Alligator mississippiensis: one gene and its partners. The protein of the gene in region 1 interacts with the protein of each later gene in a pairwise test. Links are inferred from orthologs where the notes say so. Each region holds a gene or a part of one and is shown in the gene's direction. Other genes may lie near its edges.

What was found.
Region 2: the proteins of NCKIPSD (region 1) and PSMD9 interact in binary tests that used the Homo sapiens proteins (3 or more experiments, as listed by UniProt). The two-hybrid records come from large-scale screens. The link is inferred for Alligator mississippiensis from reciprocal best matches to the Homo sapiens genes NCKIPSD and PSMD9.
Region 3: the proteins of NCKIPSD (region 1) and STAC interact in binary tests that used the Homo sapiens proteins (3 or more experiments, as listed by UniProt). The link is inferred for Alligator mississippiensis from reciprocal best matches to the Homo sapiens genes NCKIPSD and STAC.

What each region holds. Positions count from the first base shown.
Region 1 is NC_081835.1:20,265,296-20,273,105, reverse strand, and holds the start of NCKIPSD (NCK-interacting protein with SH3 domain), read left to right. Parts: upstream 1-4,749; 5' UTR 4,750-4,813; coding exon 4,814-4,984; intron 4,985-5,459; exon of another isoform or gene 5,460-5,474; coding exon of another isoform or gene 5,475-5,501; intron 5,502-7,810. UniProt on the Homo sapiens protein: Has an important role in stress fiber formation induced by active diaphanous protein homolog 1 (DRF1). Induces microspike formation, in vivo. In vitro, stimulates N-WASP-induced ARP2/3 complex activation in the absence of CDC42.
Region 2 is NC_081833.1:2,812,594-2,820,575, forward strand, and holds the start of PSMD9 (26S proteasome non-ATPase regulatory subunit 9), read left to right. Parts: upstream 1-4,972; 5' UTR 4,973-5,037; coding exon 5,038-5,139; intron 5,140-5,426; coding exon 5,427-5,529; intron 5,530-6,457; coding exon 6,458-6,651; intron 6,652-7,189; coding exon 7,190-7,291; intron 7,292-7,802; coding exon 7,803-7,891; intron 7,892-7,982. Other genes in the region: HPD (4-hydroxyphenylpyruvate dioxygenase), read right to left, coding at 375-437, 1,631-1,657, 1,931-1,933. UniProt on the Homo sapiens protein: Acts as a chaperone during the assembly of the 26S proteasome, specifically of the base subcomplex of the PA700/19S regulatory complex (RC).
Region 3 is NC_081828.1:131,724,678-131,732,561, reverse strand, and holds the start of STAC (SH3 and cysteine-rich domain-containing protein), read left to right. Parts: upstream 1-4,874; 5' UTR 4,875-5,344; coding exon 5,345-5,461; intron 5,462-7,884. UniProt on the Homo sapiens protein: Promotes expression of the ion channel CACNA1H at the cell membrane, and thereby contributes to the regulation of channel activity.

The sequences.
Region 1 (7,810 bases):
CTTTAGACCCTGTTTGCCAATGTGAAGATGCTTCTTTTCCCCTCTGCCATCTTGGGCCCCTCCAGTGGTGGGGCTGCCAAATTTGTGTCCTGTAACTCCGTCTCCACTTGGAACAGCCCTTCTGCTCCTCTGCACTGCCCCTGCACTGCATGCTGGTGGGATGCCCTGGCAGCACAGTGCTCTGGCTAGGCTGGCTGGTGAAGTGACCTGGGGGGACCTATTGAAGGCTGCTCCACCAGCCAGGTTACCTCCCTGTATCAGGCAGTATCGCAACAATGAAAAGGAAGAAATGGTCATGATACAAGGAGTAAGTCCAGCGGGACGGAGGTGCATAGCTTCCCTGGGCCGTCTCAGTGTCACGCTGAGCTGTCCATACCATTGTTGCATCAATCTGAGAGCAGAATTGGGCTCATGGCATCCTCAAAATATTTGTACAGGAAACAGTGAAGCCTGTGCTCGTGTGTGCATGTTTCATGAAGCATTGCTGCCCTCTGCTGGGTATTTGCTCAGGGCCCTGTACCATCCCTTGGCTCCTTGCATTGTTTGCTAAGCGTTGCTGCTCTGTGAACAACGTGGCACTTGCATGATGTTGTGGCCATTCATCCTGTCATGGAACGATGGGGTTCCTGCCATGTTGTGCAATGCTGCTGACAAAGTGCACCTGGCAGCGGCCCGCTCTGACTTCAGAGTCTGGGAATTGCCATGCTGGCTAAAAGCCCACCTCCCAGGATCCTAACTCTGTCCATACGTCACCCCACCAAGTCCCAGGACCTTCTTGTCTACCTCCCCAAGCCCTGGCAAATAATTCATCTACTATCTGCCAGACAAGGAAAGGGGGGGGGGGGGGGGGACCCAGGTGACTGTAGGGTGGTGTTTCTTTCCCTTGTCTGTGCACATTTCTGGATATTTTCACTAGGCAGCATCCACAGACTGCTTAGATATGTTTGAGGGGCAGTGGGTGCTAGCTGGTGTTCTCTGCCCCATGTCCCTACCTGGAACACTTGTTCTTATCCTTTGACCTGTTCCTATCTTTTCATCCTTTGTCCCAAGTATTCAATTGTTATGTATGTTGTCAGTGGCCTCCCTCTAACCACTGAAGGAGGCTTGTGATTACCTGCATAACAAACAGGCCAGTCTCCAGCCACAGGCAGCACCAGGTATCAGAAGAAGGTATGAGAAACCCTGCAGTACCCAAATATAGGGCAGTCTGTCCCCCCAGAGAATCTCCTTCTGTAGGGCACCCCCAAGCAAGAGATATCATCTCCCTTTTAAACTTTATTTCAGTGTTAATTCTGGGAACCTCTGGGTATCTTTTCTGTCCATGAAAACATCCAGCTGCTCTCTGACTCCTGATACGATGGTGGTTTTGCCACAACGAGTTCTGCAGTCCAATGTTGCACCACACAAAGAAAACTTTCCTTTTATCACCTTGGAATATACTGCCTTTCAGTGCTATCTGCTGTCCTTGTTCTTTTGTTATCAGGCTGGGGACAGAGATGGTCCTGATCTGTCTCCTCTGAAGATTGTTGTAGGCAAGGCAGGTTGCTATTTTAAGGCTCGGTGTTCAGGTGTGTATAGCTTTGCCAGATTTTAGCCATTTGGGCTGTAATTTTCTTTGTTAAGCATCTACTTCATGCTGATATTTTTCCCCAGCTGTATTCATGAACGAGGCTGGGGGAAAATACATTATTTGGACCATATGACAACATTCTGGCAACCTGTTCTGGAGCCTTCACAGCACCAGGTTGGAGCAGGTACTTCAACTTTCGAATGGAGTGGTCTCCATATCAGGGATGTCTCTCTTCCCATCCCCATGCAGATCCATCCATGGTCAAGTTATAAGCCTATGAAAAATCACCATGGTCAGTAGACTTACTTAGGCTACACAACCAAATTCCCTGAAGAGACTGTCTACAACAGCCATGCTTCAGCTGGGCACTAAGCAGGTCTTTTCCTTTCTTTGCAGCCATGGGCTGTGCTGTGTCTGGTCACAGGACTTGAGAGCAAGCAGTTCATTTGTCTTGTAATCTCAGAGTTTCCTGACTGGGCCTAGGCAATGCACAGGAACAAGCTGCAAATAAGAGATGAGCTTTGGGGTGCGGGGGATGTTAAGAGTAGGTTTGGAGAGAGAAACAGGGACTGGAGCCTGGGGTGGGGGGGAATGGGACTTGGCATTTTTTGGGGAGACCAGAACTGGTCAGACTGGAAATGGGAGCAGCAGGAAGTCTGAGCTGAGGAGCTGGTAGGGGCTGAATGGACAGTCAGACTGGGTGTTGGTGTGGTGATGGAAATGGGAGGAGGTAGGGGCATGACTGAGATGAGGAGCTGGGGACTGTCTGGGCAGAGAGAGAAACTGAGATCCAGTGAATGAGAAAATAGGGAAGAAGGTGATAGGAGAGAGATCTCGTGAAACGCTGGTGTACAGGGGAGAACTGGGACCAGCCAGGGAGAGAGGCTGGCACATGACCCAGAGGCCTTTGTGGGAATGCTGAAGTTAGATAAAGAGCCTTCAGCAGAGGTGGAGACAATGGACAGGAGTGGGGAGCAACTGGAAGTGGGTCAGGGGAGAGGCAGCTCCGATACAGATGCAGGAGGGCTCAGGTGGGCAAGGAGACTGGGAAGTACTCTGCATGAAGATGGGTCCTGGGAGCAAGGGGGAGAGTGGGAATCAGGAAAGGGAAGACTAGGATATGCAAGGGAAGGAGACTGAGACTGCAGTGAGAGGGGCCTGGCTGGATGAGAATGGGTTGGGATTGAAAAGGTTAGGGGTGGGACTGGGACAGTGACATAATTGGAAATGGTGGTCAGGCTTTGGGGACACAGACAGCTGAACCACTTGAGTGCACTTCCCCTGAATCCTAAAAGGGCACCAAGATTCCTGAGTCACACCAGTCCTCTGCTGCCAGCAAGTTTCTGGCAAAGTGTCTCATCCCTCTCTAGCTGTGGTTTACTTGGAGGAGCTCAGCTAGGAGATCTGTGTGTGCTGGATCTTCAGATTCCAGCCCCTGTGCCAGTATGACATGTGTCACATGGAGTCATGTGCTGGAGTTTCTTTCCACTTTGCTTTTTGAAGTCTTGGAAATGACACACACAAGCTTATGAACATCATTAAATTGAGCACTCCAAAGGTGGGCCATGCCAGAAGGATGGTTGCCTGTGCAATTCTTATTTAGCCTATTTGGATTTGTGCATTATTGTATGGCCTTTAATTGCCTGCCTCTGTCAGTGCATGAGGTGAACCTGTCCTGGGGGTGAGTCAGTGGGGTTTGCAGTGCTGGCTGTTATTTTCAGGACTCCTGGCTCACTGGTTGCAGGAGGGGGAAGGCAAATAAAGCAGGGGTGTAGGAAAGGATGGTTTGATGCTTAAGCCAGTTGAATGCTGCCCACGGAACTGGATTCATCTTGCCACTGCCCAAGCTGCTGTGTGATACTAAGTTGCAGAAACCTGAGTTTATCAGGTGCTCCCTAACTGCATGGTCCTGTTTGTCCCCAAATGCTGACGTGCATAGAAGAACTGAGGATACTGTTCCTGCTCTGTCTCTGCATCTCAGTTTCTCATGGGGAGGACAAGAGGCTCTCACAAGGGGCCCCAAAAATACAAGTTATTGCATGCAAAGCATCTGCAACTACAAGGCTGAGTGCCATGGAAAAGCATTGGGGCAGAGGAACAATTCTTTCCCTCAGCACGGTTTGAATGATGGGCTGTGAGGGAAGAGCGAAGCCAAACTGTTACTCTAAATTTTAACTGGGGTTGAGAATGAGACTGACCAGTGAGACTATTCCAGTCACAACTCAAAAATTTTATGGATACACAATAACAAAGACTTGTATTAATGAAGACCGTGCTTAATACAGTAGCCTTGGATTCAAGTGGAAAAGAGGTCCACTGGCCAGCTTCTCTGTTTCCCTGGGGACATTTGCTGATTTGGTTCCTCTTTTTTTTTGCTGAGCTGTGGAGAAGTCTGAAGTTGCATAGCTGCGTATACACTTAATGCAGAGTTTTTCTGCATTTGACTATGCTTTAGGGCTAGGCCAATCCTTTTCCACTTTATGTCCATGCACCTTTTCAATCACTGCCTACAGCACATGCTTAACCTACGTCATTGCTGCATAGGTCAAGGTTAGGCCTGGCTGGGGTGGTTGTGACTGCAGCAGGGAGTAGGGTGGCCAGTCCTCTTTGAATCTATTCTAGCAGGTTTCATCATGTGATGTAACGACATTAATAACTTTTACATCTGGAAGGCACATGCACATACCTATTACATTAAAAAAAAAAAACCCACTGGCCTACTGTATAAATCAGATTCAACATTTAGTCATTTATTGTAATGAATGCCCTATCATTTATCTCCTGGGTGGCTCTCAGTAACCTCCTGGAGATTTATATCTAATTCCTGGAGATTCCAGGGCAATCCTGGAGGGTTGGCAACCCTGGGGGGGGTAACTGCACTGTCCTTACTACCTCCTTGCCCAGAGGCTGCTCCAACCTGGCCCCAGCTCCCAGCCAAGATGTGCTAGCTCGGAGCGGGGGGAGAGCGCTGCAGGCGGGACACCAGTTCTGAGCCCCGAAGACTCTACAGGGGCCTCGGCGCATGCGCCCTCCTGCCAGACCCCCCCCATCCACAGGAGCCATGTGCGCATGCGCCCTATCCGCATCCGACCTGGCCCAGCAGAGGGCGCGCGGGCCTAAGCCGGGTGCGGGCGCGGGGGCGGGGCTGCGCGGTGACGTTGGGGTGACGCGTTGGGGGCGGGCGTGTTGACATCGGCGGCGCGGGCAGGCCCCGGCCCGGCTGCTGCCGCCGCAGCCATCGCCATGTACCGCGCGCTGTACGGTTTCCGCTCGGCCGAGCCCAACTCGCTGCCGTTCGCCGCCGGCGAGACCTTCCTGCTGCTCGAGCGCAGCAACCAGCACTGGTGGCTCGTGACGCGCGCGGGCTCCGGCGAGACGGGCTACGCGCCCGCCTCCTACCTACAGCGCATCCAGGTCGGGGGCAAAGGGCACGCGGGGGCGGGGCTGAGGTCAGCGCGCAAAGGTCACGCGGGGGCAGGGAGCACGTGGGGGTGGCAGGGCCTCGTTTTGGGTTGGCTGGGGTTATGTGGGGGCAGGGGTCTCATGGGGTGGTGGGGCCTCGTTTTGGGCTGGGCTGAGGTCAGGGGTCATGGGGGGGTGGAGCTGCATGCTGGGCTGGGGCAGGTGCGAGGCCATGGCCTGGGGAGAGGGCTGACCCTTGACTTTGGAGGTCAGGGGTCAGGCAGCTCCAGTCTCCGGGGGGGTCATGCACTTGCTCCCTGCCCGTGGGGCCGGGCGGGACTGAGGGGTAGGAGGAGAAGGGGGGAGGTGGTAGATGTTGTGGGGCCTTCTCGGCTGTTGCCTGCGTGTGGGCGGTTGGTTGGGGTTGCCCCTTCGCTGTGGTGGACATTGAACCCCTGTGCTGGAGCCGTGGCTCCGTGGATGGCCGGGGTGTCCCCGGCTCATGACAGCTCCATCTGCATTGTTGGCGGTAAGCAAGGAAGCTTGGGGGACAAGCACTAATCGCACCCGTTCTTCTCATGTTGAGAATAACACAGCGGGTGTAATAACAGGCCTGTCCCAGCGCTAAGGCCAGAAGCACCAGCTGTGACAGCAGCAACAACAATTATAGAGGGGTTGGCAGCATCTGTCATTACACCAAGTCGGAACCAACCGCTGCGCTCCTCAGAGGAGTCAGAGCGAGGAGGGCGCACTCAGCCGTCGCAACTGCAAGAATGAACCCTACCTTTATGACCGAGTTGGAAGAAAATAAAGCTTTTAGCCTGCTTGCGTGATGCGCGGCTGTGTTTCAGGGGAGAACCTAGATTCTGAAATATACACAAAACAAAGTTATGTTTTTAGGCTGCATTGAGATTATGATTCTCCCAGTGCCATGGTTTGAAATGGCATCTACCATATCAGCGGGCGGAGCCCCCTGCCCCCCTCTTCCATAAGCAGGATAGGTAACTCGTGCACAGAAGTATGCACAAATGTTGTGAGCCTCTCTGTTTGGGAGTCTCTGAGAAAGTATATGCCAGAGTTTCAACAAATGTTTTTATTCTGGCGCATGGAAGATCTCCTTCAGATGTCTCCAGTCTTCTGGTTGAATGGTCTGTTTGTAAATGGTGTGACTGAATTTCTTTCAGAACACTCGGTGTTGCAGGAAGGACACTGTCTTCTCTGGTGGTGCATCACAGTGTCAGTCTGCTGTGGCCTATTTATTAACTGTACAGGCTTCTTATTCTGACAACCTTTGTTCTCAAATAAGAACCCTGTCCTTCAAGCTTTGTGCAAGAGAACAGTCTGGCATCAGTGGGCTGACTTGCATGTAATTGCTGTAGAATGAGGGCTTAAGGTGTTTAATAACAAAAGCCCTAATTGAAAAGGGTAGGTTTTTAAAATCAAATGTGGACTTGCTCTGGATATGTGCCTGAATTTCTCTCTGCAGTCCTTTCATCTGCACCTCTGGTACTGATGTCTGCACTCTCCCTCCTTGTGGGCTTATCATTCTTGGTGGAGAAAACCTTCTCTGCTGTAGCTTTTGCCTTTAGGACCTTCCTATATTTATCTGCCTAGCTACTACTCTAGCTGAAAATGTCATTTGAAAACATCTCCCTCCTCTTCCCTTCTGTCCCTTCCAGTTCTTCCTGCAATGCATTTTCAGACCATAATTTGCAGTTGCAACACAATACAGTATTGGGGGTAAAGTAACACTTGATTAATATTAAGCATCATAACGTAGGCTTATGACAAAAAATTGACTGTAGTAAAGGATTCTGGGATTCATGTTCCTTCTCCTTTAGCTGAAATACATTTTTCTTAATCGTCCTTTAATCCTTTTAGTAGGAAATAAATCTGGGCTTTTTCTGCTTCCTCTGTTCTTGACGATAAATGCTCTGGACAGGTGATTGTGCTGATGCTACATGAGGCAGTAGAATTCATTGTGCTGGTCTGCAGTTATTACAGTGCTCAATGTGCACTGACTGCCTCGGTGCTTTCCCATCCGCTTCTCAAAGCTGGCAGGAGTCATGGTTTGCTATTCCATACAAAACCAAGTAGATCTGACTTGTGGGGGAGGTGGAAAAATTATCTGACTGAAATGTTGCTTTAAACAGTCTCTTGCAGCATCCAGATGAGCCTGCAAACAGCTGCTATCCCATTGCTGTTTAATAAGGATATTAATAATAATTAGTGACAATGTGTGGAGCAGTAATCAGTGTTGCCATGATCACTGCAAGAACAACACCACTAACGGTTAGTGATGGAGCATTTGGAGTGGCGGAAGAGAGCATGTTTTCAACAGGAGTCACTATTGCAAAAACAAGACAGCAGACTCATTACTGGTGCAGCCAGGTAAACAACGTGTCTCAACGGTCTCAGTCCAAAGAAGCTATTCTCCTTTCCTGATAAGGGTTCCCAGAAGAATCTGAAGTTACTCTTAATAAGGCAATTAAATTAATATCAAAGTGGAAACCTTTGCAGAGACCTAGTGAATTCACCCTGGTGCTGTCAACCTTAGTAAAACTTTCTTATCTTATGCAAGTCAGCTCATTTTTAATACAAGTGGGAAGTCTGTTCTTTGGCTTCTTTGCAAAGAACATGCAATCCTGTACCAGGTATTCATCTAAACTTCTCATGCTAACTGTGTTCGGCCATGAAGTCTCAAGGTGGCTGCTGTCCTCCATTTAGAAATGCTTGAATGCTAGCATCTTAAACAGCATTGCCATTAAATGAGTCAAATTAAATGTACAAGCAGGCAAACTTGCTTTGGACATATCTTCAGCCTTTGGAGGTCCAGTT
Region 2 (7,982 bases), on another chromosome or scaffold:
TTTTTACAATTTTTCTGAATTTCTGCTCACGACTGGAGAAACCTGCACACACAAACATACCCGTCGGCTCCCCGCTGCAAGATGAGCAGCCCACTCCCCCCTGTTGCACAACGGTGGTGCAAAGACCATCCGAGGAGAACATTCCACTCGGGGCAAGTGCTGAAACGCTTCCATCTGCTCAGGATCATCCCAGCCAGTCAGTGATGGGATTTTAATTGAAAACACGTCCCCGGGACCGTCCCGACACCACATGCCAGATCCTCCCCTCCTGACAGCCAATAGCGAACGCCAACTACGCCATACCCCTGCTCTTCAAACAATGACTGTGCAAGTGGGGTGCAGCACATGCAAACAAGCGAGTTGTCTCTACGTACCTGCTTGGCATTTCCAACCCAGAACGTGATCGAGTGAAAGTGGAGGAATCTGCCCCTTTCAGGCTGAAACAAAAATTCTGGTGACTGGGCCATACTTCAATGCCATAAAACCCCACTTTAAGGCTGAGGCTGTTTCTGCTTTAGCAAGACGTGATGGATGGGCTCCGTTACAGACGTGTGGCAGAGTTGTGCATTTCTCGTTCACCCTAAGTTAATTAACTCCTCGGCAAATTTGAGCGCGGGGTTTTATAGTCTATACAAAAAATGTCTGGATGTCACCACTGAGGAGCAAGGCTTTTTTCCATGACTTCTAGTCAGAGGGACTTTTGGGGGGGCTGGGAAGCCGTACTGGGAGTTGACCCCCAGAACAAGCAAAGCAATTATTCTCCCTTCCTAAGCCCCGCACAGAACAAGTCCGAGTCATCTGGGTCAGGGAAGGCAGCAAATGGAGCAACTGGAGAGTCGAGCTCTGCTCTCAGTTCTTGGACTGGAGCAGGATACCAGACAGTAACAGCAACAGGACTTGTCCTGCTCTACGCGCAACCTCCACCATTGTTTGGATCCAGTGTGGTTTTGTTAACCTCACGTTAAAGATTAATTCTCCTCCAGGAAAGCTCTTACCCAACTGCGAATGGGAAGCCAAATCAGAGGTGACAAAACCCATGCTCAAAAAGGAGACGTTAACAAACCTCTTTGCAGTATTTCTTAACGTTAGCTGAGCATCAGCTATTCTTCCTTGCCTGGAATTTGACATCTGCCATCTCCTGTCTCATCATTTTTAACACTGTTCATGTTTAGTGGGTGTAGTTTGCAGGAAAGATAATATATAAAGAAAAGTCGTGCTGTATAGAATGGTATTTAACAATTAACTGTAACTCTGGTGTATGCATCACTAGTTTCAGAAAGTTATTTCAGGTCTTAAAACTATTTAAATATACATTTATAGCATTTAGAGAGAAGTATTGCAACAAGTCCTGCTTATGGTTAGGCATGGAAGGGTTGGATTTTAATTAATCATCCTTTCTTCCTCCTCACTCCTAAACAGTGAGGAAAAACGTGTGTGTAATTAATTGTGATTTATGGAGAGCAGAAGTTATGAACCTAAGTCCTACTGCAACATTATATGATCAGAGCCCATTGTTGCTTTCAATTCCACCCAGCAATCAATTAGTAATAAATTAATACAATCAGTCCAGCATTAATAGTGCCAGAAATTCTTTTGGAAGGAAACCTAGTCCATGCAGCTGTATTCTTACCTTTTTTCCTTTGTCTGTGTACGTTGTCTAAAGAGAGAGAATACGTATACATACATGTTAGCATTTAACAAATGCAAATTCATTCTCCAAATATTAAATTCCCTGCTGAGTTTAGAGAAAGCAAGTTTCCCGCATTGTGTTCCACATGCTGATTAAAAAAGTCTAATTTTTCCAAGTATAAAAAAATATATCAGTAAATTCACAGAATACAAGATGTACAAATACAGCTGAAGATGCACTGATCTTCCTCCATAGTACATTAATGGCAAAATTGAAAACTGAATAATTGCTAAGTCTCACCATTTTTGGAAGTTGATTGGTATGATAGCACCAAGAGAAAGTGCAACTCCAAATGCATTCAATATATCTGCAGGGTGAGCGAAAGCCCCTCCCTGGCTCCACCTTCCCCAGCTCGTAATCTGAAACATTTTAAACCAAATTATTTACTTGGTTTGGACCGTAGTCATTCTGCCCTTGGGAGTGGGGGGAGTTCGATAACACTGACCCTGGAGGTGAAAGGACCCGTATTTATCTGAAAAGCAAGAGGAGAGGCTGTTTATCAAATGCAAGACCAGAACCCCTAGCCACGTCAACCCAAGCAAAGCATACTACGAACCGATTCTGACCTCACGGCCGTGTGAACCAGCCCCCCATACTCTGGGTTGACACCCGACTTCGCTAAGATCAGACTGTGGCCCAGGCGCGTCGGTAGTGGGTACCATCTCCTTCAAACAGCATGCTGGTGATGTAATCTTTTTATGTAATCTTTTTGATGGTATATCTAGCTTTTGCAAATGATATCTAACTGAATACTTAAGGCAACTTACTGGTGCTGGGAGGGGTGTGGTACGTGTGTGTTAAGAGATGCTTGCAGAGCACAGCGTGTGGGATGCGGAGGATTCCTGGAAGGCCTCCCTAACACCAGCAGGATAATGTCTCCCTGACACCTGTAAGATAGCAAGAAGTTCAGAAAAAGGTCTCATTATAATGCTAAAAATCACACCCCTGGGCAGAGCAAAAGTATGTTAATGAAACATATATGTATGTAAATGAAATACATGGCTAAACCATAGGTATAGAGACATGCTCAATAGAGAACGTCTTATGTCAGTGGCTTGTAACCAATCACTGAGCGATACACTTGCAAACATGTATAAAAGGTATCCAGAGGTAGAAACCGGTGCGCTTGTTTTGCGAACGATCGCCAAGCACCCCTCTCTGCGCAGACTTGAAACAATAAAGATTAAGTTGGATCCTCCACCCCTGTGTGTTTATTGGCAAAAGCGCACCGGGCACGAACTCACACTGTCCTTTGGAGACAACACTGGCAGTACCACGCAGACAGGTGCTTGTTACAGAAAGACTTTCAAATTTTCCGGGATGGGTCAGGAAGCCAGTCCTGGGAAAGCGCCTTTCAGCCCCGGGTTGCTTTGCACAGCCAGAATACTCACCGAAGTACTGTTGCCCAAACGGCTAGTTTCATTCCCCTGGAGGCTTGTCCAATTGTCCTCAAGGAGAGAGTCACACACACACAGGCTGGGTCCATCTCAGATTTATTGTTTGCAAACAGTTCGACCCAGGAGCTGAGCTCAAATCAGAGTCGACGACTAGTCCGGCCCGGAATTACATTTTTACAGCTTACATTGAACATAGAGTTTTAACGTGTTAGATGTTTATTGGCAGCATTACCATTTCCTAATTGTTACGTCTTGTCTTGTAGGCTGCACTTAACTTGTTATTGGTTAGTGTGACTTATCAGGGTTAGTGCATGCACACTCAAAAAGCAGAACTGCAGCGAAATCTTTTGTCGCATGCGCAGAGGGAAAGGGGAACTGTGGCAAAGTTAGCAAACTTTAGTAACCTCTTATCTTAGCATAACCTTAGGGCATTGGGCAGGGATAATTTAAAGATGCAAGGCAAGCAGTAAGAACAGCAGACCACAGCTTAGGCGTTAGACCTTATGACCTTGCACAAGGGTCATAAGATGGTCATAAGACACTTCTATCACATAATTGCTGCTCAAGCGTTATTGCAAAATCGGGGAGCCTTAACGTCTTTTTTACTACAGTACCTGTGACGACCCCAGCTCACTGGGACCCGCAGCAAAATTACTCCTGGCTTCGCCTCTCCAGGCTGCACGGCCTTGCAAACCACCGCTGAATTTGAACACCGTTGTCACGACTGGCAAGCACGGTTCTTTGGGTCGACCGGATATCTTTTATTAAACCAACTGAATTGTTGGTCTTTGCAAGCTTTCGGGCGCAGTCACCCTTTGTCAGGCACAGGGAGTCTCTACTGAAAGTGTGCAACGAACTTTTTTCCAGCTACTCAGTTGGTCTAATAAAAGAGATCACATCTACCCAAAGAACCTAGCCTGCCTGCCTCTGTCCTTGGACAAGGGGTGAGCAATTATTTCGGTGGAGGGCTGCTTAGCGAGGTTTGGCAAGCTGTCGAGGGACACATTTCCCTCCCCGGCGTAGGGAAGCAGGAACAGCCCCACGGTCCCAGGCCAGAAGCAGGTGCTTCTGGGTCCTGCTGCCGGCTTCCCCTGGGTCCTGCTGCCCCCGTCTCCTGTCATCTTTGACAGGCAGCCAAGAGCAAATAAATATTAATTTTCTAAATGTGTCAGGGGCCCCGCGGGCCGGACAGAACGGCCTGGCGGGGCGGATCTGGCCCCTGGGCCGCATTTTGCCCAGCTGCGCCTCCTCCGTATAGCTGGGAGTGGGCAGGGGTGAAGGTTGCACGGGCGCAACCGAAAGCACGATCTTTGCCCGATGCCTCATTATTGCAATAAGCTCGCTCCGCGCTGGCTCAGGGACGCGCTGGGAGGGCCGGCGCCGCGTCGGTCCAGCTTGGAAGGAGTGGCGCGCGGGTCCCGACGGCGCCGCGGGGCAGAGACATTGTGAACGCGCCTCGTCCACGCCAGCTCTGCTTCGCCGCACGGGGCGCACCCACGTGTAACCGGGCCGGGTAGGCGCACGGTGCGACCTCGGTACAGTACGGGGTTTTCTCCCCCGCGTGCTGTAAGCGAGGCGTCGCCCCAGGCCCTCCGGGGTGACGCCCCAAAGCCGGGCCCCTTGGTGCTGGTGGCAGGCAGCCCATCCCCCTGCGGGGCACGGGTGAGGGAGCTGCGCTGACCGAGTCAGCCTCTGAGGTGCAACCCCGCCCCTCCCTGCAGGGCCTGGCGCCCGGCGCACGTGCTCTGCAGCCCCGCCCCGCCCCGCCCCGCCCCTTCCGCGTTGTTGACTGCGACGTTAGGTTTGTCCTGCCCCGGCCACCGTCACCGCCCCCCCTCCCGCCGGCCCCGCCCCTTCCGCGTTGTTGTTTACTGTGACGCGCGGTTTGTCCTGCTCGGCCCGCCGTCGCCCCGCCCCCTCCACGGCGCCGCGCAGCGCAGTACAGCGGCCATGGCGGAGCCGGCCGTGAGCGCCCACGACGTGCAGTGCCTGGTGCGCAGGAAGGACGAGATCGAGGCGCAGATTCGGGCCTGCTACGAGCTCCTGGAGGACGTGAGTGTGCGCCGGGCCAAGTGCGCGTGCGTGAGTGTGTAGTGGGGGGGGGGGGTGTGTAGCGGTTGTGCATGTGGCTGAGTGTAACAGGGACACGTGTGTGTGCGCACGTGCCTGTGGGGGTGTGCCTGAGTGTGTGTCTGCGGGGGGTGGGTTGTGTGTGTGTGTGTGTGTGTGCGCGTGCGTGCGGGGGGTGGGGGCGGGGTGTGACACGGGCGCTGGCCGAGCCCCGAAAGGTGACGTCGGGCAGGCACCGGGCGCCGCGCGACCACGTGTCTCCCTTGCAGCAGAAGGGCGTCGGGATGAGCGAGCCGCTGGTGGACGCGGAAGGATACCCGCGGGCAGACGTCGACCTGTACCAAGTGCGCACGGCGCGGCACAACATTATCTGTAAGCAGCTCGGTGGTCGCGGAGCGCGCTCGGGGCCCCGGTGAACGGCACGGGCTCGTGTCGGCGTCCCCCGGGGCAACGGCGAATAGACGTAGTCACGTACGACGTCTGCAGACTCGGGCCGTGCGGAGGGCGCGAGTCCCTAGAGCCCCAGGTTCAGGTATTAAGATGAACAAGGTGGCAGCCCCCCGAGGACGCGGCGCTCGGGGCCGTGGTTTGCCCTTTGCGTGCAGCTCGATTCGGAGTATAAAGAAACGACGAGGAGTCGAGTTCGAGGTGTGTTTGTAACCGGGTTTGGGACGAGGGGGCAGGGCAGGGCAGCAGTCGGTGAGCGACACCGTTTGCATGAACAGGCGGCGTGCAGAGCGGTTGCGACGCGCCTCGTTCTGTGAACAAACCTTGTGTTTAATAAATAAAAATAATAGTCATATCTCTTATGCACGCAACAAACATGGGGCCGAAAACTAGGTGATGTCTCCTTCGAACGAATCCTGGTGACGGATTTACGATGAACCGGTCCCTGTGTGAAAATACTTTGGTGGAAAGGGAGTTTGGTCGCTTTAATTTTTTTTACGTTGCTGTTGATCTCTCCAGCTCTCATTCTCTTCTAAGGGTTTATCCACCTCTAGGTGTTGTTACCGCTGTTATAACACGGCTGTCCCTGCGTGAGATTGACGTTAATTCATAAGGAGCCCTGTTTGTGCACGCGGTGTGGCCACTGGTTGTGAGCAGGCCCACGAAACAGCTGTCAGTCTGTACGCAGGGCAGCGTTCGGTGGTGACTGTGTTTATAGTCTGGAGCTGCCCTGCCATAGCAGACCTGGTAGCGTAGTGGGGAGCACGCGCTGATTCCCACAGGGCAATACATCTCGTGCGGGAACGCTGTGTGCTCGTTCCTCCCATCTCTGAGACAACCTCCCTCCGCCCAGGTCTGCAGAATGATCACAAGGCCGTGATGAGGCAGGTGGAAGAAGCGCTCCACCAGCTGCATGCTCGGGAGAAGGAGAAGCGTGCCAGGGACGAGGCAGAGGCACAAGCCGAGGCAGTGAGTCAGAACCAGAGCCTGCCTCAGCCCTTCGCCAGAGTGAACGCTGTCACGCCGGGATCTCCTGCCAGCCTCGCGGCAAGTCCAGTGTTCTTCCTGCCCGGGGAGCAAACACCCGTGGACCCTGTTCTGCCCCAGAGATGGCCGGTGGTCGTCGCCACCCACCTGCAGTCAGGGCCAGGGTTTGAGCTACTGTTCTTCGTCCTACTTCTTGTTAGGTGCTTGGTACCTTTCCCCCAGGGGCATAATGTTTCATGTCAGCCTTTGCAGAGTGAAATAACATTTATAGCACCTTGCAGGGGGGAGCATCCAGTGAGGGAAGTGCACGTGGGGCTGGCATCAGAAGACCTGTACTGCTCCCAGCTGCACCACTGACATGCTAATGGCTTTGGATAAGGCTGTATGCCTTAGATTCCTTATCTCCGTGACGAGGATAAAAAAAATAATACTGCCTTATCTCACTGTGGGTTTGCGTGGCTCACATGTTGAGAAGTGTCTTAAGATCCTTGAAGGGAGCGCTGACTAGTGCTTTGGGTGAGAGATGCGCCACAAACCCTAAGCACCGTGTGTCCTTTGAGGAGGAAGATTCTTAGTCTCCTGCTTTCTCTCTCTAAAGGGATTACAGGTCGACGATGAGATCGTTGAGTTTGGCTCTGTCAAGGCGCACAACTTCCAGACTCTGCAGAACATCGCCACCGTTGTGCAGCACAGCGAAGGGGTGAGCAGGTTTCTGGCTTCTCTGGTCTGATGGGCTTTTCTCTAGTGATACTTAGCAGAGTTCAATAGTCCCACGTCTCTGCTCCAGACACTGCGTGTCAGCTTCTGGGCTTGACTGTTGGTTTCATCACGTGCCACCCCCAGGTCCTTCAGTGCGAGAGAGCTCACACTTAACTTCTCTCTTTCCTGGACTGATGGAGCTGGCAGTAATGTGAAGGCATCAGGTGTTGCCTCTAATGGAAGCTCCCCGTGCTGAACATTTGAGACGTTCTCTTTAGAGGTCTTGTTTTTTGTTCTCACAGGAGCCTGTGCTGAGTGACAGCATGTTACTTCACTAGTATTCATGGACATGCTCTACTTAGGAAACTTCCCTGCAGTCCTACATCCCCCCTGTAGCTAGAGGTTCAGTGTTACACGTGCGGTAGCTCTCTGGCTCCTATGCAGCCAGGCAAACAAAAGAACTGAGCCAACTTGATGGGAAAAGGTGCCATTCATCTGTTTGTTTGTTTCAGAAACCCCTGAGTGTGAGCGTGATCCGTGGAGGCGAGAAAGTCCACCTTGGGCTTACACCAAAGCGCTGGGCAGGGAAAGGCCTCCTGGGGTAAGCTTCCCAGTACTTTCTGCAGCTTTGTCCATCTGCTCTCATATGACGTTGGCCCGCCTTACACTGGAGAATCCCACTGGGAATCTGA
Region 3 (7,884 bases), on another chromosome or scaffold:
TTTCACCAGCTGTTTCATTTTGAGCTCAAAACAGCAAAATCGAAACAAAATGAAGGACTTTGAAACAGCCTTGAAATGAAATGAGGCCAGTCAAAATGTTTCAAAAGTTTTGAAATATTTTGAGTTTCAAAGCCGCAGCCAGGTGGCGGGAGGCAGGGGAGAGCCAGGGCTGTGCTCCCAGCGGCTCCACAGCCCCATGTAGCTCAGCCAGGCAGGAAGAGCAGCCCTGGCATTCCCCACCTCCCACCACAAGGCTGCACTCTGTGGGGCTGGCAGAATTGATGGAAGTGCACCGTTGACTCTGCCTGCCTCCCACCACCAGGCTGCACTCCCATTGGCTCGACCCACCCCATGGAGCCCAGCCCAGGGGCAGGAGATAGGCAGAGCCAGAGCTGCACCCTGCCTCCTGCCACTGGGCTGAGTTCCACGGGGCTGAACCACTGGGAGCTGAGCCTGGTGGAGGGAGGTGGAGTGCAGCACTGGGGCTGCACACTACCTCCCTCCACTGGGCAGCAAGCCACTAGGCGCTGAGCCCAGTGGAGGGAGGTGGTGCACAGCACCAGTGATGCATGCCGCCTCCCGCCACTGGGTAGTAAACCACTAGGCGCTGATCCTGGTGGAGTGGGGTGGAGTGCAGCCCCATTGCTGTGCGCCACCTCTCTCGAGCAGGCAGCAAGCCACTAGGCGCTGAGCCCAGTGGAGGGGTGGTGCACAGCCCCAGTGCTGCATGCTACCTCCCTGCACTGGACAGCAAGCCCTCCACCTAGCAGCTTGCTACCCAGTGGAAGGAGGCAGCATGCAGTACTGGCACTGCACACCACCCCCTCCACCAGGCTCAGTGCCTAGCAGCTTGCTGCTCAGTGGAGGGAGGCAGCGTGCACCCCCAGCACTGCATGCCAGCCCCCTCCACCGGGCTCAGCATCTAGCAGCTTGCTGTCCGGTGGAGGGAAGCTGGAGCTGTGCTCCAACTCCCTCCACCATGCTCAGTGCCTAGTGGTTTGCTGCCCAATGGAGGGAGGTGGTGTGCAGCACTGGGGCTACACTCCACCTCCCTCCACCAGGCTCAGCACCCAGCAGCTCTCAGCCCCATGGAACTGAGCCTGGTTGGGGGAAATGGAGTACAGCACTGGGGCTGTGCTCAACGTCCCTCCACTGAGCTCAGCTCCCAGTGGCAGCATCAACCTCCCACCAGCACCCCTAGGCAGTCTCTGCTGGACTCCTCCAGGGGGGTGGGCGAAACTTGAAACAGCATCAAAATAGCAAAACTGTTTTGACGAAACAAAATTGAACAGTGCTTTCGAAATGAAGTTAAACTCAAAACAAAACACTGTTCCATTGAAATAGAAGTCGAAGCGAAACAGTGCTGTTTTGCATAGCCCTAGTAAATATGCTACAATCACACCTTAACTTGCAGTGTTGATACACCCAAAAGTGGCTGAATTCATGAGCTGTGCATGTGAATGGCATAAAATAGGAACGGCGAGTCTGATTTTTTCAGCTACCCCAAGTTTAGCTTGAGTGCACCTGAGGAATGTTGGGAGAGAGACCGGTAGCTCCATGTCATCATCCCACGTCTTGGACCAGCAGTTGCTAAAGCATCTCAGGTGAAACGTTCTAGGACAGTCTGAGAACTGTTCCAAGCATTGTCAGCTGCGTCATCAAGACCTTTTCTGGTTCAGGATCAGGAGAACATAGGATATTGTACTGCACTGTACTGTCTGCAGGGGGTGAGTAGGCAGTGTAGAGCCATTTATGTCAGCTATTTACCATCTGCAGATCCCCTCATGAGGGCACAGCTTGGCTCAACTGTAGATAGTTTTACCCCACTCTGCACTGTTAAACAGCTGTAATTAGGGTTGAGAATTTGGCCTTATGTTTTATTCATTACCATTCCCTTCCCCACTCCAAAATCTATGCTCCTCTTTTCATTAAAGTATCTGCTCCTTTTTCTTTAATTTAGTGCCAAGTTGCTGTACTTCATGTTTTAGCCAAGAAACTTTACCTAGAGAGTGATCAGCATTAATCACAAAACCGACTTTTCAAGAATAAAGTGTGGGAGAGAAGGAAATGTAGGTTTGTTTAATTTGACCAATCTGTTTGGTTATGGTTTGCATTTAATTTTTGATATCCAGCTATTGAGGAAGGAAATAAAATGGCATTTTTAAGATTTCAGCTTTGAGTCATGTTTCCCAGGCTAATTGTCAAGTAACTGACAGATCAGTCATGGCTGACAAGTGAGTAATTGGAAGAAGAGAGGGAATGCAGCAGGTGTCAGTACTAATTTGGTAAAACAAAAAAAAACTTGAGTACAGAGAGTAGTATGATAGTCACTTACACAGTCATGACGTTACAAACTTTTCATACAAAATGTGTGCGGGATTTTACAATGCTGAAAGCATTAACCATTACTCAGACTTTTCAAAGGATCACAGGGTTGTTTTAGAGGAGAGCTGAAAGATCTGTTGTACAAGATGTGCCTGAGCTCCCTAATTATTAACAGGATCTAGGTAGGGGCTTAATAAATATGAGCTCGAAATACCCATGGAAGGAGGAAGGAATATCCTTATGGAGTTTTCCAACATTGTTCTGTTAGGCAAAGCTGCTTCGTTTTCTAAAATGTTTTCAAAGTCCATCTGAAAGCCAGCTGGAATCTGCAAGCAGTCATAACCATCTTCACAGAGGATGAGTGCCAGCTCCATCAGGCTAACATCTTCTTGAAAGGGTCTCTCACATTTGTCCCTGTCCCTTCTGTCTCCAGGTTTGACCAGTCCCTGCTTGATAACCCCTTCCTCTAACGTGCTTAAAGCTCTTCCCTTTCCTTGGTGAGATATTCTCTCTGTGAGATGTATGCCATGGCAAACCCAGACTCTTGGAGCCAGTGCAAGGATATTTAGAAATGTTCTGTCTGGCTCAAGAGAGGAACATTCTCAGATTTTAACATTCAAAAGTTTGTAAATCAGTTCCTACCCCACTTGTTGCCAAGTCAGCCATTCTGACATCTGTATTTCCTCAACTCAATCTTAGCTGACTAAACTAGGGGTTGGTGTGCTTCTTCTATTTTTTTTTTTTTTTTTTTTTGACAGCTGTAGCTCTCCTACCTGCTACCAGCGAAACAAAGAATTGTGTTGGCAGGTATGTAAAGTTGTGCTCTGAAGAGACTGTACAAAGCAGCATCCTGGTGTCCTATGCTTGTTGTCTGTTAAGGATTTCAGTATTGGATATGGTCCATTTTCAAGGAGGAAAGTTTCCCTCTGCTCCCCGTCCACCAACAACTCCATCCCTGAAAGCTCCCCTGAGAATTCAAAATCAAGGTCTGTTTTTTGGCTTGCCGGCTTTTGTGTCATTACAAAGGCATTAGAGTCTGCAGGCTAAATTCTGCCCTGACTTCCACTTGTAAAAATCCTATTATATGGTGGCTAGACAACTGGCTCAGTAGCCACAAGTCACAATTGGGTAATTTAAAATGGATCTGTGTAGTTCTAGTAATAAGTTAGGCAAGGATTTGTATGGGATGTTTTGGATAGGGATGATGCTGCCTCAGGCAGGAGGTAGGACTAGATGTTCTCCTGGGGTCCCTTCCGACCCCAGTTTTTTTATGCTTCTGTGATTCTCTTCCTATTCTGCCTTCATTTACACCTGCAGCCAACTTCAGTCAATTAACTGGAGGGACCTGCAGCAGAGCTTTGATTAACTATCCTGTTGCTGAGGCAAAGGCCAAAACAGAATTTGATTCACTCTTTCTAGCTACAGGACATGAAAGCAGTCAAAATGTTTTTGTGTCAAAGGCCAGCAGATACACCTTCAAGTGTACAGAGGTAACAGATCTGCTGAGTGCCTTCTTTACAATGTCACTTGTCAGAATACCATTACAGTTAAAAGGAGAAATTAACTTCAGCTAATGTTCTGATTCATATTTCAGGGTCATATATTTCCTTGATGTTGTGAAGGGTTGCGAACTGTGTTTAGCACACCTTGGAGGAGCTGAGTACGGGCAAATCCTAATGATTTTGTGGCACTTGAGCCTTCATGGGATCAAGCCTTAAAACAGTGTGAAAAGGGAGTGAGAAATGCATCCCACAATAACATGACAAACTGAAACAAAAATACCCGACTGAATCCCCTTTAAATAAAATGCCGCCAATTCTGTCCTATGTAGCAAGATTTGTGACTGCAAAGACAGAGGATGAAGTGTCAAATCATTTTGGAAATGCACTGGACCACATCCTCAGCAAGTGTATACCAGAAAGTCACTGACGCTACATTGATTTACAGTTACAGAGGATCTGGCCACTAGGTGTAAATTTTTGCTAAGCACTAACTCATTCTCCTTGTGTCACATGTGACAAACACTAGCCTCCACTGAGCAGAGAGGCTTCCCACTGCCTCACTGGACACCACCGTTTATTCACATATCCAGCATTATCACCGTGGCAACCTCTGGGTAGAGGCTTTGTGCATCTTGGATGCTTCATTCGACCTTTTAATAGCTGCTGCCATGCCTGATTCCATGTGCATCACTCAAAGATGCTCTTCTGCCTGCATCTTCAATGCACTTCCAGGTTGGGGTAATATCATGGAATGTGCTTTGTCCCCTGCTAGGGAGGTGTTGGGGAGAAATTTTTGTATTCTGAAAGTGCAGCATGGTTTGATCTTTAATGGTCATCTCTGGTGGGGACACAACTGTATTTTGTTCTTTTTCTCTGAACTTTATATCACACAAACACCCCAAGATGGATAGGAATATTGAGTGAACAGCTGCCCATCCTTAAGTGGTGCTGTGCTCCAAGATCCTCAGCCTAATTAAAAGGTAATAGAGGTCCCAAGCCACATGTGCTGCTGTATGCATTTGTGTGCATTACTTTCTTTCACTACTATGACAGCACATGCTCTTACAAAGCTATTCAAGGCATTAGAAATACAACTCCTCCCTCCAGTGCCCCATGTGTGTGAGCAGCTCAGGCTTTCTGCTTCAGCACACTGCCATTTGATCACTGGGCTGACAGTCACGACTCTGTTCTACACCTTCAGGCTTCACAGAGAAAAGGAGGACCAAGAAAAACACAGAAATAGGCACATAACTGACCTACAGAGCCATCAATAACTTAATTCCCTTGCAGCAGAATTACATAGGGGAAAGAGAGGAAAAGAGGGGAGGAGGAAAAGGAGGAGGAGGAGAAGAAAAAAAAAATCCAGAGAATTCTAGCCTTGCAAATATAGTCAAATTGAGAATGAGAGGAGTTCATTTGCTCTAGAAGAACAGGGAAGAAAGAACAGATTAAATAAACAAAACAGGAGAAGATTGTAGCTCCCTTCACGATAGCAGCAGTATTATTACAGAAGTAAAATGATTCCTCCGTGCAGCACTACTGAAGTCAGCGTGGATAGCGTGGAGAAAGAGAATGAACTGGAGAATACAGATCAGCCCCCCTCTCCAGCATCTACTACCAGCCAGGAATCAAAGGTATTTCATCTATGTGATACAAAAATGCACGTTATTTTCTTCTTTGCTGATGGTGTATGTTTTTAAGTTGGAATTCTGAATTGGGATTTGAAATAACAATTTGCTGTGGTTTGCTAACCTTAATAAGTATTTGTAGTAATGATTATGTTGCAGAATTCTTACCTTTTTACCTAGGCAGTTCAAGAGGTCAAACTGAAAAATACCTGTTTTTGAGATGTTGAGGGCTTTCTTATAAAGGAGGAAATCAGTTGTTAAATAATATATAACCATTTCCACACTTGGCATCAGAATGTTTAAAAGGTTTTCACTTATTCATGCTTGGAAAGACTGATTGAGTAGCAGGTTCAGTGAGGAGGTGAATTTTTTTTCTTTCCTAAGAGACCCTTCAGTGAACTTTGGCATTCACTGTTAAACAAGTCAGTAGTTGAAAAGGGGCTTAGGAAATCCTTTTGGCTAGGAATCTCTACTCATACCACAGATCATAGATTTTTTTCACCACCTTTTATCATTGACCTGGTTCAACTTACCCAGCTGAAAAGAGTCATCCAGTTCCACTTTCTGTGCTCTTACATTTTTAATTGACTCACACAAGAGAAGTTTTTCAGTCGACCTGTGTTTTGTTAGAAAAAGAGATGTGAATGTAACATGGTAGACTTACAAAACAGTAGTTTCAATATCTTTATTATTCACTAAACAGGCGAATATGATCCTAATAGTTATTTATTATTTGTACAGTTGGGGCACCTGGGAGCCCCAGTCATAGACCCTGACCCCATTAAGCTAGGCAGAACAAACTATAGCCCCTGCCCCAAGGAGCTTACAGCTAGATTGGGCATTTCAAAATGACCGTGTCTGTTTTCAGCTAATTAAGCAGCTAAGCTGGACCTTGCAGCCACATTTAAATTAGATGGCTCTTTCAGCCCATTAAGCAAAGAATATGACATCGTTCTGCAGTACCAATTACTAATCACTCTAGCAATTTCATAAAGCATAACGATAATGTTAATTTGAATATTTTTGGTGTACACCACTGAAGAGAACAAGGGATTCCCCTAAATAAATGAGTGCCATCAAAAAAAAGGGAAAGGCCCCCTGTATCTACAGTAAGAACTCAATGCTGTAGTAAGCTATCAAGCTTTGGAGCATCCCTGTAGAATGCAGTAGTGTTTTTATAGAAGAGGAGAAACGGGGTTATACAGTAAGCCTCTGTTCCCCAGAATATTTGCTTGGCAGGGGCTGAACAACCTAACTCACAGAGAAATCAGTGGGAGTTGAAAGCACCTCACAGGAATTGCGTGGAGCCAATCAAAGTGCTGGACGAATTCTGTGAGGTCCTGTGTTAAACATGTGAACTGCCACCAGGCCACTAGGACCAGATTGTCACATGCATTATATTGTGTGCTGGGCCCTGGCCATGGCTCCTTTCTGCAGTGAGATACTGTCCTCAAGCAGTGACATGCAAAGAGATATAAATCTTGAGGTTTCACTTTGTGTTTACAGCTGTGTGCAAGAGGCACTGAGTGAATGGGTCCCAGCAGCTTCATGACCAGCAAAAGCTGAATATTCATAACCTTAATATCAGAGAAAGCAAAAATCTTGCATACAAAATTATTTTCTTTTAGCCATCCATTCATAGCAGTCCTACCAATGCCAATGAAACTTAAGGACATCTGGCAAGACGGCATGATACTACTAAATGATTCACGACCTAACATTATTATCTTTGGCTTTGCTGGGCTCACATCTATGAGTACTTGAAGTGATATACTGGAACAAACGTCTGTGCAGTTTAGCAGCTGATGCTATTATTTGCATGTAAATACAGTGTACATATAATGTTTATAGCATATATAGTGTATGCTGGGGATTTAGGTATTATCAGAAATGACAGGGTATTCTCCTTTTATATTAAAAGCCAAGGAGGTTTCTGTTTGCTTGGCATGTTGTGTTAAGAATGTTTTAGCTTTAGTAAAGAAAGGAACAGTTGAATTCTCAGGTTTATAAGGATAACGTTTGTGTCACTTTTTATTGAAGAACACTTATACTTTTAAATCTATTCTGTGACCCCTCCATATTGACGGTTGCATGGGATCATTGACACTATGCACAATAACCACCTTAATATCAAACAGGGAATCCTCCAGCAGGTTAAAGACATCTAAGAAACATACATAGGACTGGAAGGGATATCTTGATTCAAGAAGTCTATGTCCCTATTGCAGGCAAAAATGATCTAGAATCTCATGAGGCCAAATTTCAGAAAATGAGTTTTAAGCTTGCATGCACAAAAACATGCTGAGGGGATGACAAGGAAGACATACTGGAGTACCTGACTAGCATGTGGTTGAGATTCACCACTTCAAGCAATGGGAGAAGTAGCTGAAATTCAAAAGGATCTATTAGGCAGGAAACAAATGGTGAAA